2 linked regions of the Diceros bicornis minor genome follow. The protein of the gene in region 1 purifies or fractionates together with the protein of each later gene. This does not show direct contact. Links are inferred from orthologs where the notes say so. Each region holds a gene or a part of one and is shown on either strand. Other genes may lie near its edges.

Region 1 (6,867 bases):
CCGATGGGGGGGACAGGATATCCTGGCTTGCTTCCCCAGCTGCGCCTGGGAGAGTGTGCCCAGCCCTGCAGGGCCCGCCAGGACAGCAGCTCCCACACCCACCAGCCCGCCCAGGGCCCTTCAAGGCCAGGCTCGTCCTTCTCGGGCCGGAAACCAAGCCAGGCCCGGGTCGCAACAATAATCCTGCACGTTTCACAATCCACGTCACCAAGGACACAGCTCTTTCTCTGCCACTATCTCGGACACTCCTTAGAGCGACACCAGGGCTGGAGCGGGCCTTGTGCACCCCCCTCACAGGGCCATGGCCACGCTCCAGCCACTGGCCACAAGCTGCAGTCCCAGCTCGAAGGCCAGGTTCCCTCAAGAGACTGGCTGATTCAGAGAGCACCTGGGCTCTGTGAGTTTCCTGGAGACGTAGGGGTGAGGGGGCAACTTCCCAGGCCCCAGACAAGCCACGCACCCTGCCTGGCCAGTGTCCCCCTCCAGCCCCACCCGGCACGGGGGGAATGTGGCGGGTGTTCACTCCCCAGGGCCACAGCACAACTCTTGCAGGACAGGGCCCAGAGCAGGAAAAGACTGACCCAAGGTCACACAGCCACTCTCAGGAGCATCCCTTTCCCAGCTCCCCGAGGGGAAGCCGCCCCTGCCCCGCCAGCTCCTGGGGAGGCTGGGCAAAGGCAGACTCTGCTGAGCAAACTTCCGAGGGCTAAACAATCAGAATCAGGAAGAAAACACAAGTGTAAGCAGAGACTTCCTCTGGGGTGCGGCGAGCCCTCTTCCTCCACAGGGCGACGCGCGCCCACGGCCTGCAAACCCCGGACCCGAACCAGTGGTGTGTCTGGAGGCCCCTCACCCTGGCGGCCCTCCGGGAGTGGGGGGCACTGCAGACCGCCTGGCAATCCTCTGCCCACGCCTCCCCCCCTTTGCCTGGAGCTGGCGTGCAGGGCTCCAGGATGGAGAAACAGCTGGGCAGGGTCTTCCCCAGGACCCTGCTGTGTGGTCCATCCCACCCTGGACATCTCAGGGAGTCTGGGATCCAGCAGGTGAGGGCTAGGAGGCGGGCAGCCCACATGCACAGCAGCGCCACAGCCTGGTGTTGGCTGGGTGTTCACATGGCTGGTGTGGGACTCGGGGGGTTATCCCTTGGGGTCACTGCACAGGAACATTCCCCCAAACCCCAAGACAAGCCAGTGCTGCTGCAGCTGCGGGCAGGGCCCCCGTCTCCCACAGCCACGGTCACAGCTCACGTGCCCTCTCACACTCTGGGAGGCTGGGGTAGAGAAGAGGCTTGAAGATTGTGGTCCACCCATGTTTTCAGGGACATTGACCCCCAGACTTGCCTGCCCCTCAGCAGGGAGGGCAGCAACCCCCATATCACCTGCACTCACAGCGGAGCAAGGTGAGAAGCTGAGGCTGCCCCGCCCCGCCGCCCCTGCCCGAGATGATGCTCCAAGCTGGTTGGAGCCTGGCTTCCGCTGCATCCTGGGGGCCCTGGTGGCAGCTGCCACTGGGAGAAAACGGGACCTGGACGCTCCTCTGCCAGGTCTCCCCTGCCCGAGGCCAGCCAAGGCAGCAGGGATGAGCGCCGGGCACCACCATTAGGAAGCCAGAGGGAGGCCACCCGTGTGGCCCCCGGACGAGCCCCCGCAATCAGCGTGGGGATGGCTGAGTGAAGGCTCACAGGATAGAGGCTGGCACCATACCGAGAGGCCGTGGGCTGGGCAGCCAGGAAGTAGGACCATGGAAGGCAGGGAGGGCTCAAGCAGGCAGCAAGGAGGGCGGCCCCGAGGAGGTAACTTCCTCGTGCCCCTGTCCCTTTGAAACGGAGTGCCCTGCCCTGCCCTGCCTCACGCAGGCGCCACACCATGAATTAGAAGCACCTGGGTAACTGCAGGGGCCAGGTGCTGCCTGGAGGGCCCTGCCCTCTCCCCGTGCACAGCTTCCTCTGATTGAAGCTGGCAACGTGGCCCAACCCCTCCCCTCCGCGTGCCCCCTCCAGGCTCCTCGCTTCAATCCAAGTTTTCATGAGCTTGGTTCCTCAACTGGGGCAGGGGGCACTCCCCACCTCCGTGCTGACCCCTCAGGGAACACCACCGCCAAGAGGCCTGACCTGACTGGGAGGGTCTGTGATGCTGCTGCAGGAGCAGAGGGCCCTCCCCTCTAGGGGTTCCTGTCTTCCCTACAGGGCCACCCTGGGGAATCTTCTCCCCTGCACCCAAGAGCAAGCTCCCCCCGCACATGTCCTTTCCCAGAAGGATTAACACCTGGACCGTCCCTCCAGCGAGGAGTGGAGCCAACTTCTGGGCTCTGGCACCCCTCCCCAGCTGGCTCCCGCCACACACAGGCCCAGGCAGGGCCAGCCGGGAACTGCCCGCCCCCACAGGCTCAGAGCCACACGGCCCTGAACTTCAAGGGACAGGCTCCACGATGTTTCTGTTCTGTCTGTTAACCTCTTCCTTCCCTCCCGGCTGCTCCCAGTCGCAGCTCCGACCGTGGTCCGTGCGGCAGCAGGTGTCACGGGCACAGCGCTACCCCGACACCCCTCCCCAGCCCCGCGGAAAGCCCCTCGGTGCCGGGCCTCGGCCGCCGGCGATACTCACACGGCGAAGTGGTAGACGAAGCACTTCCAGCCCGTGGGGCGCTCGAGGAAGTTGTAGACACGGCCCTGGATGTGCGTGCGCGCGAGCAGCGGGCGGCGCGCGCTGTAGATGGAGACGCGCGGGTCGAGGCTCACAGGCGGCCGCGGGCCAAGGTCGGCGACGGCGGGGGGCGCGGCGGGCGGGGCAGGGGACGCGGGGGACGCGGGCCCCGGGGCGCCGGGCGGCGCGATGGGCGCGTAGAGCGCGCCTCCCGCCGGGCCGCCCTCGGCCAGCTCCAGCGAGAACGGGCACTTCTTGGCCAGGCCCGCGCTGCCCCGCCGGGCGCCCGGCAGGCGGCCCCAGCCCCAGCGCTTCCTCTCGGCCCTGGGCGGGGAGGAGGCCGCGGCCATGGCCAGGCAGGGCCCGCGGGGGCCGGCCGGGCGGCGGCACCGGGAGCTGCAGAGAAGGCGGGCGCCGGGGCGCAGTGCGGGCAGCCGCTGCTGCCAGCCCCGCCGCGGGGGGCCGCTGCCCGCCCCGCCCGGGGGTAGGGGGCGGGGCCGGGAGGGGGCGGTGGCCGCGGGCCAGTCCCTGGGGATGGCGTGCGCCGCCCCGGGCCGGACGCCCCGCCCTTGACCAACCGGCGCGCACGCGGCGCCCAGTCCGCGCTCACCTGCTTGGTCCCATCCGGGTGGGTGCCCACCTGTTCGTCCCGTCCCTTTCGCATTCACCTGCTGGGCCTGCCCGGTTCGGTGCTTGCCTGCTCATCCCCACCTGCACCCACGTGCTCGCCCCCCCACGCCCACCTGCTCTGCGGGCGCGGAGCCTCCAGCGGATCCGGGAAGGAAGGCTCGGGGTTGGCAGGTGCAGCGACCGCGAATCGCGTGGTCTGGGCAGGAGGGCAGGGTAGGGCTCAGGCGCCCGCTTTACCCTCTCTGAGCCTCTTCGAAGAGGAGGTGGAAAGTAAATAGGGAAGGAGGGGCGCCCTGGGGCTCGCGGACTGACCCTCTCGGCGCCAGGAAGACTGCGTGTTAGCCCCGCGAACACTCTGAACTTCCCGTGGGTGCCCGGGGGCGCACGCTGTGGGCAGAGAAGAATGATGTTGAGTCGGTGCCCACTAGGGCGGTCGGACCCAGGAGGCAAGACGGGGCCATCGACAGTCAGGGACGGCCCAGTGGGAACTGTGCATGTGGGGAGGCTGTGGGCGGCACAGCTGGGGCCTGGATGGAGTTTGACTGCGAGGCATGGTGAGTGGGGCTGCCTGAGCAGGTCGGGAGAGAGGCGTTTGGGCAGCCCTAGGAGTGTGAAGACTGGGTGTCCTATCCCTGCCCACCTGATCGGGGCTGCTAGTCGGCCCTGTGGCTTTCCCTGGGTGAGGGTGAGTGTAGAGGTAGGTCATGGGATCAGGTTTGTGCGGGTCCCCTGCGCTGCCTCCAGCCGTGCTGCGCTGGCGTTTGGGTCCCTGTGCATTGACCAGACGCCAGGGTGGAGGATAGGGTGGCAAATAGAAAAAACCGGCTTCTCTGGAGACATTGCCCCAGGCAGAGGTCGGGGTCCATAACTAAGAGACACTTCCCAGGTCTTCCCTGAGCACCCGGGGCTGATTTACTCAATGTACCCCCCACCAGAAAGTCAGCTCTTGACGGTGGGCAGAGTCCAGCTCCGGCCCTTCACCCCTGCCTCCCCACACCTCGGAGACTGCCTGCACACGGCCAGCACAGTTTGTGTTTGCAGAGAGAAGAGGGGAGTGGGTCTCAGCCTGTGCCGGGCGCTGTGGAGACTTGGGCACCACTAAGGCCAGGGCACCTTCCTCAGAAGTGCGTCACTTAGGATCCCAAACAGGCAGAGAGTCCACCTCTGCAGGGCACCAGGGGGACAGGCCAGGGCACACGGCAGGCAGGCAGGCAGTATTTCCGAATGAGCGCATGCACGAGCGAGCAGTGTCTGCACATCCGCATCCCAGCAGCAGGAGGAAGGTGAACTTTAATGGGCGGTGTTGGGACAGCTGGAGAGCCATAGAGAAGGGAAAAAGATAAAGTTGGATCCACATGGCACACAACACAAGGATAAATTTCGAACGGATCAGAGGCTTAAATGTAAAAGTTGAAATGAAGCCATTCAGATGCTATCAGACTTCCTCAACAGTCTGGAAGTAGGGAAAACATTTCCAATGGTGGAGACGAATGACAAGCTGACACAGCTGTTGGCAATTGACCTCACAGGCTGAGGGGCAGTAGCACCGACACGTAAAAACATCTAAAACCGAGAAGACGACGGAAACAACCCGTGGAAAAGGGAGCGAAAGACACGAACGTTTCACGAGAAAAGAGGTTCGCGATCTTTGCACTTAAGAAAAAAGGCTCAACGGCCGCCCTAACAAGAAAAATGCAAATTAAAAGTACACTCTGATACCACTGCTCACCTATCTGATTGGCAAAAACCCAGACATTTGCACACTCCATGGGCAGGGCAGCTGAGAAGCAGGTGGGCAGGGGGCCTGGAGGTTTAGCAAAAGCACATGTGTCCTTTGCCCCAGCAAGTTAGTTCCACTTCTAGGAACTGACCCAAAGACGTGGAAAAAGTGGAAAATGATATCTGCACACTGCTATTGGTGGCAACATGATTTGTATGAGCAAAAGACTGGAAACAGCCAGAACATGCCCAGGGCACTGAACCATGCTAAGGTACAGCCTCACAGTATAGCCCGCTATCAATATTATCTCTAACACTCTGAGGACGAAAGGAACCCAAAGAATCATATTCTTGGTAATAATATTGGTGTTGTTACTTTGGAATTATATATGTGTATAATATATACATAATATCTATATCATGTTAAATTCCTTAGGAGCCAAAAATTTTGGTATAAGAGAAAAGAGATACAGATATAAAATCGAAGTATGAACCAAACCTTCAATTTGAATCGGGAATATTAGCAGAAACTCCTCAGCTATGTTATCTTAAAATTACTTTCTAGCTCTGTCCACTGAAGAGTTTTAGGAAGGGCCAGTCAACAACAGAACAATTTGAGCCTCACAAAGAATTATAGATGAAAACATATCAAATATCTTAAAAACCCATTAAGTCATAATGATACTAAAATATCCTCATTGGCCCTTTGTAGGTTGCTAGGGCTCATTATTCTGAAAACGTTAACAGAGGGAAAAAGTTGAAGGTTTACCCTCCCTCCCCTGTCAGAACCGAACCTCAGGGTGAAAAGAAGCCGCCCGCACTGGTGGCATGGACCGCGGTGTTTCCGGAGAGAATTAGGTGATGTCGGGAAATTGCTCCGAGACAATCAGCGGGGAGGGGCCGCCAGTCGGGTAGAGATGAGAGCTAACGCCTCTGAATTGGTCGTTGGTGAGCCCCGGTGAGCGCAGTCACGATGCTGTGCGCCCTGTGTGTTTCCACATTTAAAATATTATAATAAGTAGCTGCCCAAGAACCTGGGGAGGCTTCTTGAGGGGGCTGCATGCTAGCCCAGGGTCGGCCGGAGGAGCAAGTGAGGGGCTCTCGGGGGGCCCTGAGCTATGAGGGAGCTGCTCTGGGGGGTCCTGGGCCCACCAGCATGGGGACGCTGGGGAGCATGGAAGGCTAGACAGAGGGTGGCCGAGAGCTCCCTGCAAGCTCAGAGGAGGACCCTGGGGGAGCACTGGGAACCCCTGGGCACGCTGAGGGGTGGGAGCTGGAAGGAGGGAGGGATGCCAGGTGCGCAGGTGCGGTGAAGTGGGGCTGGGCTTGAGAAGGGTCGGGTAAGGAAAGGCCCAGGGTGGAGGGCTGGGGGTGGGGCTGGGGGCAGGGTCAGCCGCAGGAGCAAGAAGCACAAGCCAGGCCTGCTCCGCGGTGGGTAGCAGGCCTGACCCAGCCCATTAGCTCACCAGCTGCTCCCAGGATGCCCCTCCACTGAGGACAGCCCCTCCTGGCCACAGCCCCCTCCCCAGGACCTGCCTGAGGGCACCTCGGTCACTCTGGGTACAAGTGTCACGTCCTGGGTATTGGATGCAGAGGCTGATGGATCTACCTGGCCGTGTTTGGATGGAGAGGCAGCCCCTCCCTGCCTCTCAGGCCCACGGGCCATCTCTGGGCCTCAGAACATTCTGGAAACACTGCACTCACCTCCCTTCAGTGGCACTTTGCCAACACCCCTCGGTGCACCATACTCACCCCACGTTCCTTGCATGGGGTCAGAAGCCAAATGTGAGAGGAGCCTAGAGGTCATCAAGCACACATGGGTGACCCGAGGCTGGGGAAGGGAGGGGTGGGTGGCTGCTGCGAGGCCAGTCCGCAGGCC
Region 2 (7,087 bases), on another chromosome or scaffold:
ACAAAATACAGAATGGGTGAGGTGTATAACAAAATACAGTGAGTGAGGTGCCTTAAAGAACTGGATTAAAATTTTAAAAGCCTATGTACATTTTAAAGATTTGTGGACAAGGACATGATTGAATTGCATATTAATAATTTACTCCAGTAAAAACTCCAGAAAGCCACAAGTTAAAGAAAAAACAAAACCAGCTTTGTAAGGGTAAAATATGTCTGCATTTAAATGAAAATGAGGTTAATAAGTCAATCATATAGTATTGTCATTAAAATATGTGTGACACATAAACAGAAATTAAGCACATAGGAAAACTCAGGATAATTGTGCTATGGTGAGATACATAGTTCAAATATTTAATGAAAATCACTTGGTTAACTTAAATGAGTTATATAGAATTTGGCAAAGATCCAGAGAATGGCAACTAAAATGATCAAATATATTTTAAATAGACCATATAAGATAAGGCTAGAGAACAATTATTTAATCCACAAAAGAAAAGGCTAAATACAAACTGTAACGTCCCTCCTCCTGAATTTAGGGGCTATACTTTGTATTTTGTCCCAGACAATATAGAAGAGAAGAACCATCTTCTTTTTTCACACAGAATCTAAGGAATTGCCTCAATTGCTGCTGCAGCTTTTGTGAGGTCAAGGTCTAGTGATATATATTGGCTACTAAAATGAAATGACTGATAGGTTGCACCTGACCAATTTGTGAAAGAGCAAATAACATGGAAATGGCAATCACAATGTACTGAGGGGAGGGACGGAGAAAGCTTCTCAAAATATGATTTAACTACAGTTAGAGTTATCTCCTGTTTGCTGATCACACTGGTACTCTTCACATACTAGTTTGCTGTCTTGCCAATGAGGAACTAACACTATTTAAATGGAAAATATAAAAGGTACCTTTAGAAATCTTGAATTTAATTCCTCTGGGGAAACAAGTGTAGTGCAGTATTCTCACTATTTGGAAGACAAGTCAACACCAAAAGAAGTGTAGATTACTTATGAGGTTCACAGACGTTATTAACACAAAATCACTAGAAGTAACTCCAATCAGGGATGACAAATAGATATCACTTCCCTTTTCAACTCTGGTCCATTGGAGCGACTTCTCTTTGTGAGAAGGATACTGAGGCAGTGTTTGCACTCAGTAGGAAAGAGTTGACTGATTTAAAGTGACTTCCATGGAAGCCTCCAATGACTTTCACCTTGCTAAATTCAAGGGTTATTTCTCAGTCCTCATTTTACTTAACCTGTCAGCAGCAGCTGCTACAGTCCATCACTCCCTCTTCCTTCACTTTCTTCACTTGGCTCCTGGTTCCTCTTACCTAGCTAGCTGCTGTTCTCAGTCTCATTTGCTGATTCCTCTCACCTTCCCTCCCTCTTAGAGTTGGAGTGCTCCAAGACTCAGTCATTGTATCACTTCTCTATCTAAATTTACTCCTTAGAGCAACGTGATCTAACAGAAAAATCACGTGAGCCACAAATGCAAGCCACATATGTAATTTGAAATTTTCTAGTAGCTACATTAAAAAAAAAGTAAAAAGAAACTGGTGAAATTCATATATATTTTATTTAACCCAATATACTCCAAATATTAGCATTTCAACATATAATTAATATAAAAATATTAATGAGACATTTTAAGTTCTTTTAATACTAAGTCTTCAAAATCCAACATATGGCATATCTCAATTCAGACTAGCCATATTTCATGTGCTCAATACTACATGTGGCTAATGGCTGCTATATTAGACAGCATGGCCCTAGATGATCTCATCCAATCCCTTAACTTAAAATGCCATCTATATGCTGACTACTCTCAAATTTACATTTCTTGCTTGAACCTCTCTCCTGAACTCCAGACTCAGATATCTAAGGGCCTACTTGACATCACTTCTCGGATGCCTAATATGTATCTCTGACTTATTACGTCCCAAACTGAACTCTTGGTCTCCTCCGTATTTACTTTTCCCCATCTCAGTTACCGGCAACTCCATCACTTCAGTTGCTCAGGCCAAAAATGTTGGAGTCAACCTTGACTCTTCCCTTTGTCTCAAACCTCACATTCAATCTACAGGTCCTATGGCACTATTAGTTCCATGTTCAAGAAGTATCCAGAATCTGATCCCATATCATTACCTCTAATACCACTACCATAGTCCAAATTCCCATTATGTCTTGTCTGAATTATTGTGATGGCATCCGAACTGATCCCACAGTTCATTCTCCTCAAAGCAGTTAGATGTTCTTTAATAATTAAGCCAGATCATCTCACTCATTGGCTCAAAATTCTCTAATGGCTCTTGATCTCACTCAGAGTAAAAGCCAAAGTCCTTACAATGACCTTCAGAACTCTACAGGATCTAGCCTCCTGTTACCTCTCTGACCTCACCTCTTGCTATTCTCCTTGCTCACTCTGCTCTGGCCACTCTCACCTCCTGCTTTTCCTTTAACACCACAGTCATGTTTCAGCCTCAGGGCCTTTAGACTGGCTATACCCTCACTAACCCCAGGGCTCACTGCCTCGCCCCTTTCAAGTCTTTGCTCAAATATCATCTTCTCAGGAAATGACTTGAATGAATGAATGAATGACATGACATCAATGAATAGGTGCCACAAGGATGCATCAGAGCACTAGTGCCACATGGTTGCCCTTCTAACAGAAGCCAACACATAATTAACCTAAAACATTTATTGAACACCTACTATATATAAAACAGACATGTATGATTTGCTGCTCTTAGTGAAGGGAAACATTAAAATAATCCTATTGCTTTAGAAGGTGTTCTGGAACATTTTCAGCACATACTGGAACAAGTAGCTGGCTTCCTTAGTCACTGAGAAAGCAGTATCTACTAAAAAACAGGAATATCTTGTCAGATATTCTAGGGCTTCCTCCTCCTAGGCAATCAGAATCTACAAACATAATCCCTCAATCCAGGCAGTTCTAACTGCACTGTTAGAACACTTGGTTCCAGTCCTAGCTCTACCCTGAGCTGGGTGAGTGATAATAAATCACTTCTTTTATTGTCTCAGTTCTTTTATTCCTATGATGAAATGTCTAATCTCACCCAGTTCCCAATGCAAGTTAAGATAACAGGACAATGTATACTTGGGTGTTACAAGCTGGCACACTTATGTATGCATTGTGGAGCTTGAGAAAAAAGAAATTGTTTTTCAAATCTAAGAATTTCTAAATCGGGACTATTTAAAACTAGTCTTCAGTTTGTGGTAGACTTAACGTCTTTAATCTTTTCATTTTCCTTTTTTAATCCCAATTTTCACTTAACACCACTTCTACGATTGAACTCATAGCTTATTTTAGTTCACACCTGCTAAGTTTTTCAGTCCAACCTAGCTCAAAACAAAGGAGAAACGTGATCAACCTGAGAAATCAACCCGAGACATTAAAATGTGTAGTTTACCCCAGGAATTGATTTGCGTGTAGGAGTGTGGGGAGAAAAAAGGAAGTACGTGAGGGAGCAGCTGAAAAAAAGGAGAGTAACGCTCAATTTATTAAAATGGCTCAATTCAATTCAACGTGTTTATGGGCGCAAAGCACTGTGCTAGCCATTTTAGTAACGCCAAGATGAGCAAGAAAGTCTCTGCCATCAAGGAGCTGGGAGTATGAGCTGAACACAAATTATCAAAATATCATGCAGAGTACATAAAGGAAATACCAGGAGAAATAAAACTGACATTAATTGAGGACATTTTCATATGCCGGGGCAGTCACATATATTAACAACCCTTCCAAAACTTCCAGGTAAGCTCAGGGAGAATAGGTAACATATTCAAGGTCATTCAAGCTAGAAAGTTCGTGTACACTGGCTTTGTCCTCAACCCAGGTTCCCAAGCCCAGGCTCCTTTCAGATCACCATTGCTAAGGAGAAGCTCCAGTGAGGAGTGGGAGGGGAACAAGTTGACAGTATACTCCCAGTTGCGGCAGAGGGAACAAAGAGATCTGAAAAGCTATTCAGAGGCGGCGCGTGAGGTGGGCCTTGAAGGGTGAACCGGAGACTGGGCAGGCCAGTGCGGGGAAGAGGGAGCGACTTGCAGGCTAAGGCGATAATGAGAGCAACTGGATGCTCTCCCAATTCCTCGAGTCGAGGAATCAACCTAGGTTGAAAAACTGACGTCCGGTAGGTCCTCATCCACCCTCCTCTCAATCTTTTCCTTTGGGGCTTTTTAGCGTTCACCAATTCCACCAGTTATTTTTGCAACTTGAAAAAGCTCATTGTTTTAAAGCGACCACTGAGTCCTTTGGATGGTGGGTGGGGGTCTGACGGGGCGCCCCAGGCACACCCCTTGCCTCCCACCCTCTCAGCCAGGCCGCCATCTAGAGAGGGTTCGTCGCCGAGAAAGGGCGCTCTACCCGCCGGTTTTTCGCCTGCGGGACCCGGGGCCCGAGGCTTGGCCGGAGTCGCCCCCACCGCGGCGCCCAGAGCAGGGCCGAGCCGCAAGCGCACCTGCCCGGCGCGGCGGGGCTCGCGGCGCCTGCGCGGACCGACGTGCCCCCCACCCTCACCCCCCCCCCCCTCCGGCTTGTGCCTCGCCGTGTGTTTACGTGGAGACGAAGATGGCGGCGGCGGTGACGCGCTGCTCGTGTGATTGAGGACGGTCAGCCAGTGAGCGCAGAGACTGGTTCCACTCCGGGCAGGGGGAGCGCCGGGCTCGGCCCTGCTCCCTGGGCCGCGGAGCTTGCAGTCTCACCTCCGTCTGAATCGACCTTTCCTTTCTATCGCCGACTCCCTCCCTGTCTTCCCCCAGCCTTCTCCGCAGAGGCCATGGAGGACGAGGAGAGACAGAAGAAGCTGGAGGCCGGCAAAGCGAAGGTAAGAGCCGGAGGCTGCCGGGCCCGCGGTGGGAGGCGGTGGCTGCGAAGCGGTGGGAGGGGGCCTGGGACGCGGGGATCGCAGCAGCCCCGGTGCGCTGCCGAGGAGGGAGGAGCTGCAGGGTCTGCATTTTCCCCTCGCCCTCCTTTTTCCTTTTCCAATTGAAAAAGCCTGGTGTTACTATCTAGCAGATGATACTTCCGTGGTGATTGGGTGGTGTGGTTCCTTTCTCGTGAATGCCCAAACAGAACCCCTCTTTTATTGTTCCGCTATAAACTGGTATTTATTGCTTCTAAATCTCCAACCTTTCACTTTTTTAGAGAGTTTTCCAGGTAGTGCAGGCATTGTGCTTTACAGGGTGGGGATTTGGGGCTTTCCTTTATTCGGTAGGGGATTTGTACGCTCATCGTCAGCTTGGCTTCTTAGGTGGCAAGCTGGCACTCTTGGGTGTGTGATTGGCCTGTGACAGCTGCCTCAGCAGTGGCTTGAGTGTGCCACAAGTACCAGCTGTGAACTTCGCTTTAAGGGCATTTTTAGAAGCGTGGCTTTGTATGTTTGTCTTGGGAGGTCTTTGTCATGGCATGCGCTTTTGTACTGTGTGGAATGTTATGCAGTATGTGAATGGAACTTGTGGGGTTGAAAGCTTCGCTATTTCCAAGAAACACCTATAGAATTCCTGTTTTAAATAACTGAATTGGTATATGTGTCTCGATGAGTCCCTGTTTTATGTGTGTATGAAAAAACCTGTAAAGCAAACGATACGAAATTATACTGGGCTTCATGAAAAATTTGACAGACAAAATATAAATTAAATAGCGTGTTTCTTTTAAAAATTACATATTTGAGCATATCTTCTGGGTGGCCTCAAAGGCTCCTTCCTCCCAAAATGAAGTTACCTTTTACAGTTTATATTTTATCTTATTAGCGATGATTGTTAGCAATCATACTTGGACAACAATTAAATTATAATATAGTTAACTGTTTTTTCTGTCTTTCCTTTCCCTCCAAATAAACAAACAAATAAATAAAGGAGACCGGGTTTATGATTTTGGTAATCATTGAAGGGCCATACTGCGGAGATGCAGTAGTAGATGCTCAACACAAATTTCTTAAATGAGTATGTGTATAAACTAGCTTCATGTTTGTAAAATAGAATACGCTTTTCCATAGCTCCTTCTATCTAAGGTCAAAGCTTAAGGCCAGGTAGATTATTACTTAGAATCTATAAATGGAGGGAAGAGGGAATCAAGGCATCTTCAGAAGCCCAAAGTTGTTTACATTTCTGCAATCTGAAGGTCAGAGCAAGCTCTGTGAATCCAAGCAAGTGGAGGTTAAGTGTGCACCTCCTTCCAAAAGCATTGAAGTTCTAATAGACATTTCGTTTGTTACCTAAAAATTTTTACTGCCTGCCCCAGAAGTATCTTTCCTAAATATATGTAAAGTAGTCCTACAAAACGTAGTTTACTTTGGACGACGCATTTCATAGTGGTTACAGGATTTATTTGAATTGCTTAGAGTTTGCAGAAAAGAATTCTAGTTTCTTTGTTTGTATGTGTTGTTTGTCTTTCGAAATTCTGCCTATGGAGTAAAAATCTTTTCTTTTAACATTCACTTCTATTGTAGAAGATTATCTTCTTCTAGTGTTGAGCCCAGTTTTTCCAGTAAGAAATAAATCTGTGAAACTTGTAAGGCAAGGTATGTTTGCTGGAGCATTAGCTATACAATATAAAAAGACTGGAAACAACCTTCAAAGAGAGTATTAGAATCGTTTTCTAGACTATAAGTGTGATGGAATACTATGCAGCCATTAAGTTTATGAAGACTGATAGGAACATGGAAAATAAAGTGAAAACATCATCATCAGAAATAGTGTATACATTATTTCATTTGTATAAATGTGTGCTTTTAGATTAGGACTTAAAAATTTTGGATTATAAATGTCAAGTCATTCAGCAAACCTGTATTGGAACTCTTGTTTGTTTGTTTTTTGTAAGGAAGATCAGCCCTGAGCTAACATCCATGCCAATCCTCCTCTTTTTGCTGAGGAAGACTGGCCCTGGGCTAACATGTGTGCCCATCTTTCTCCACTTTATATGGGACACCACCACAGCATGGCCTGACAAGCGGTGCATCGGTGCGCGCCCAGGATCCAAACCTGGGCCCCCAGCATCGGGGCGCACGCACTTAACTGCTACGCCACAGGGCCGGCCCCTTGGAACTCTTGTTTTATACTAAGGTTGGGAAATA

Evidence for each region.
Region 2: the proteins of KCNQ1 (region 1) and AKAP9 purify together in Homo sapiens (affinity purification with western blotting; 3 studies listed by BioGRID and IntAct, with this or other methods). This does not show direct contact. The link is inferred for Diceros bicornis minor from reciprocal best matches to the Homo sapiens genes KCNQ1 and AKAP9.

Annotation. Positions count from the first base shown.
Region 1 is NC_080770.1:2,284,806-2,291,672, forward strand, and holds the start of KCNQ1 (potassium voltage-gated channel subfamily KQT member 1), read right to left. Parts: upstream 3,012-6,867; 5' UTR 2,990-3,011; coding exon 2,601-2,989; intron 1-2,600. UniProt on the Homo sapiens protein: Pore-forming subunit of the voltage-gated potassium (Kv) channel involved in the regulation of cardiomyocyte excitability and important in normal development and functions of myocardium, inner ear, stomach and colon.
Region 2 is NC_080742.1:29,433,345-29,440,431, forward strand, and holds the start of AKAP9 (A-kinase anchor protein 9), read left to right. Parts: upstream 1-4,081; 5' UTR 4,082-4,147; intron 4,148-4,589; exon of another isoform or gene 4,590-4,775; 5' UTR 4,776-4,792; coding exon 4,793-4,840; intron 4,841-7,087. UniProt on the Homo sapiens protein: Scaffolding protein that assembles several protein kinases and phosphatases on the centrosome and Golgi apparatus. Required to maintain the integrity of the Golgi apparatus. Required for microtubule nucleation at the cis-side of the Golgi apparatus.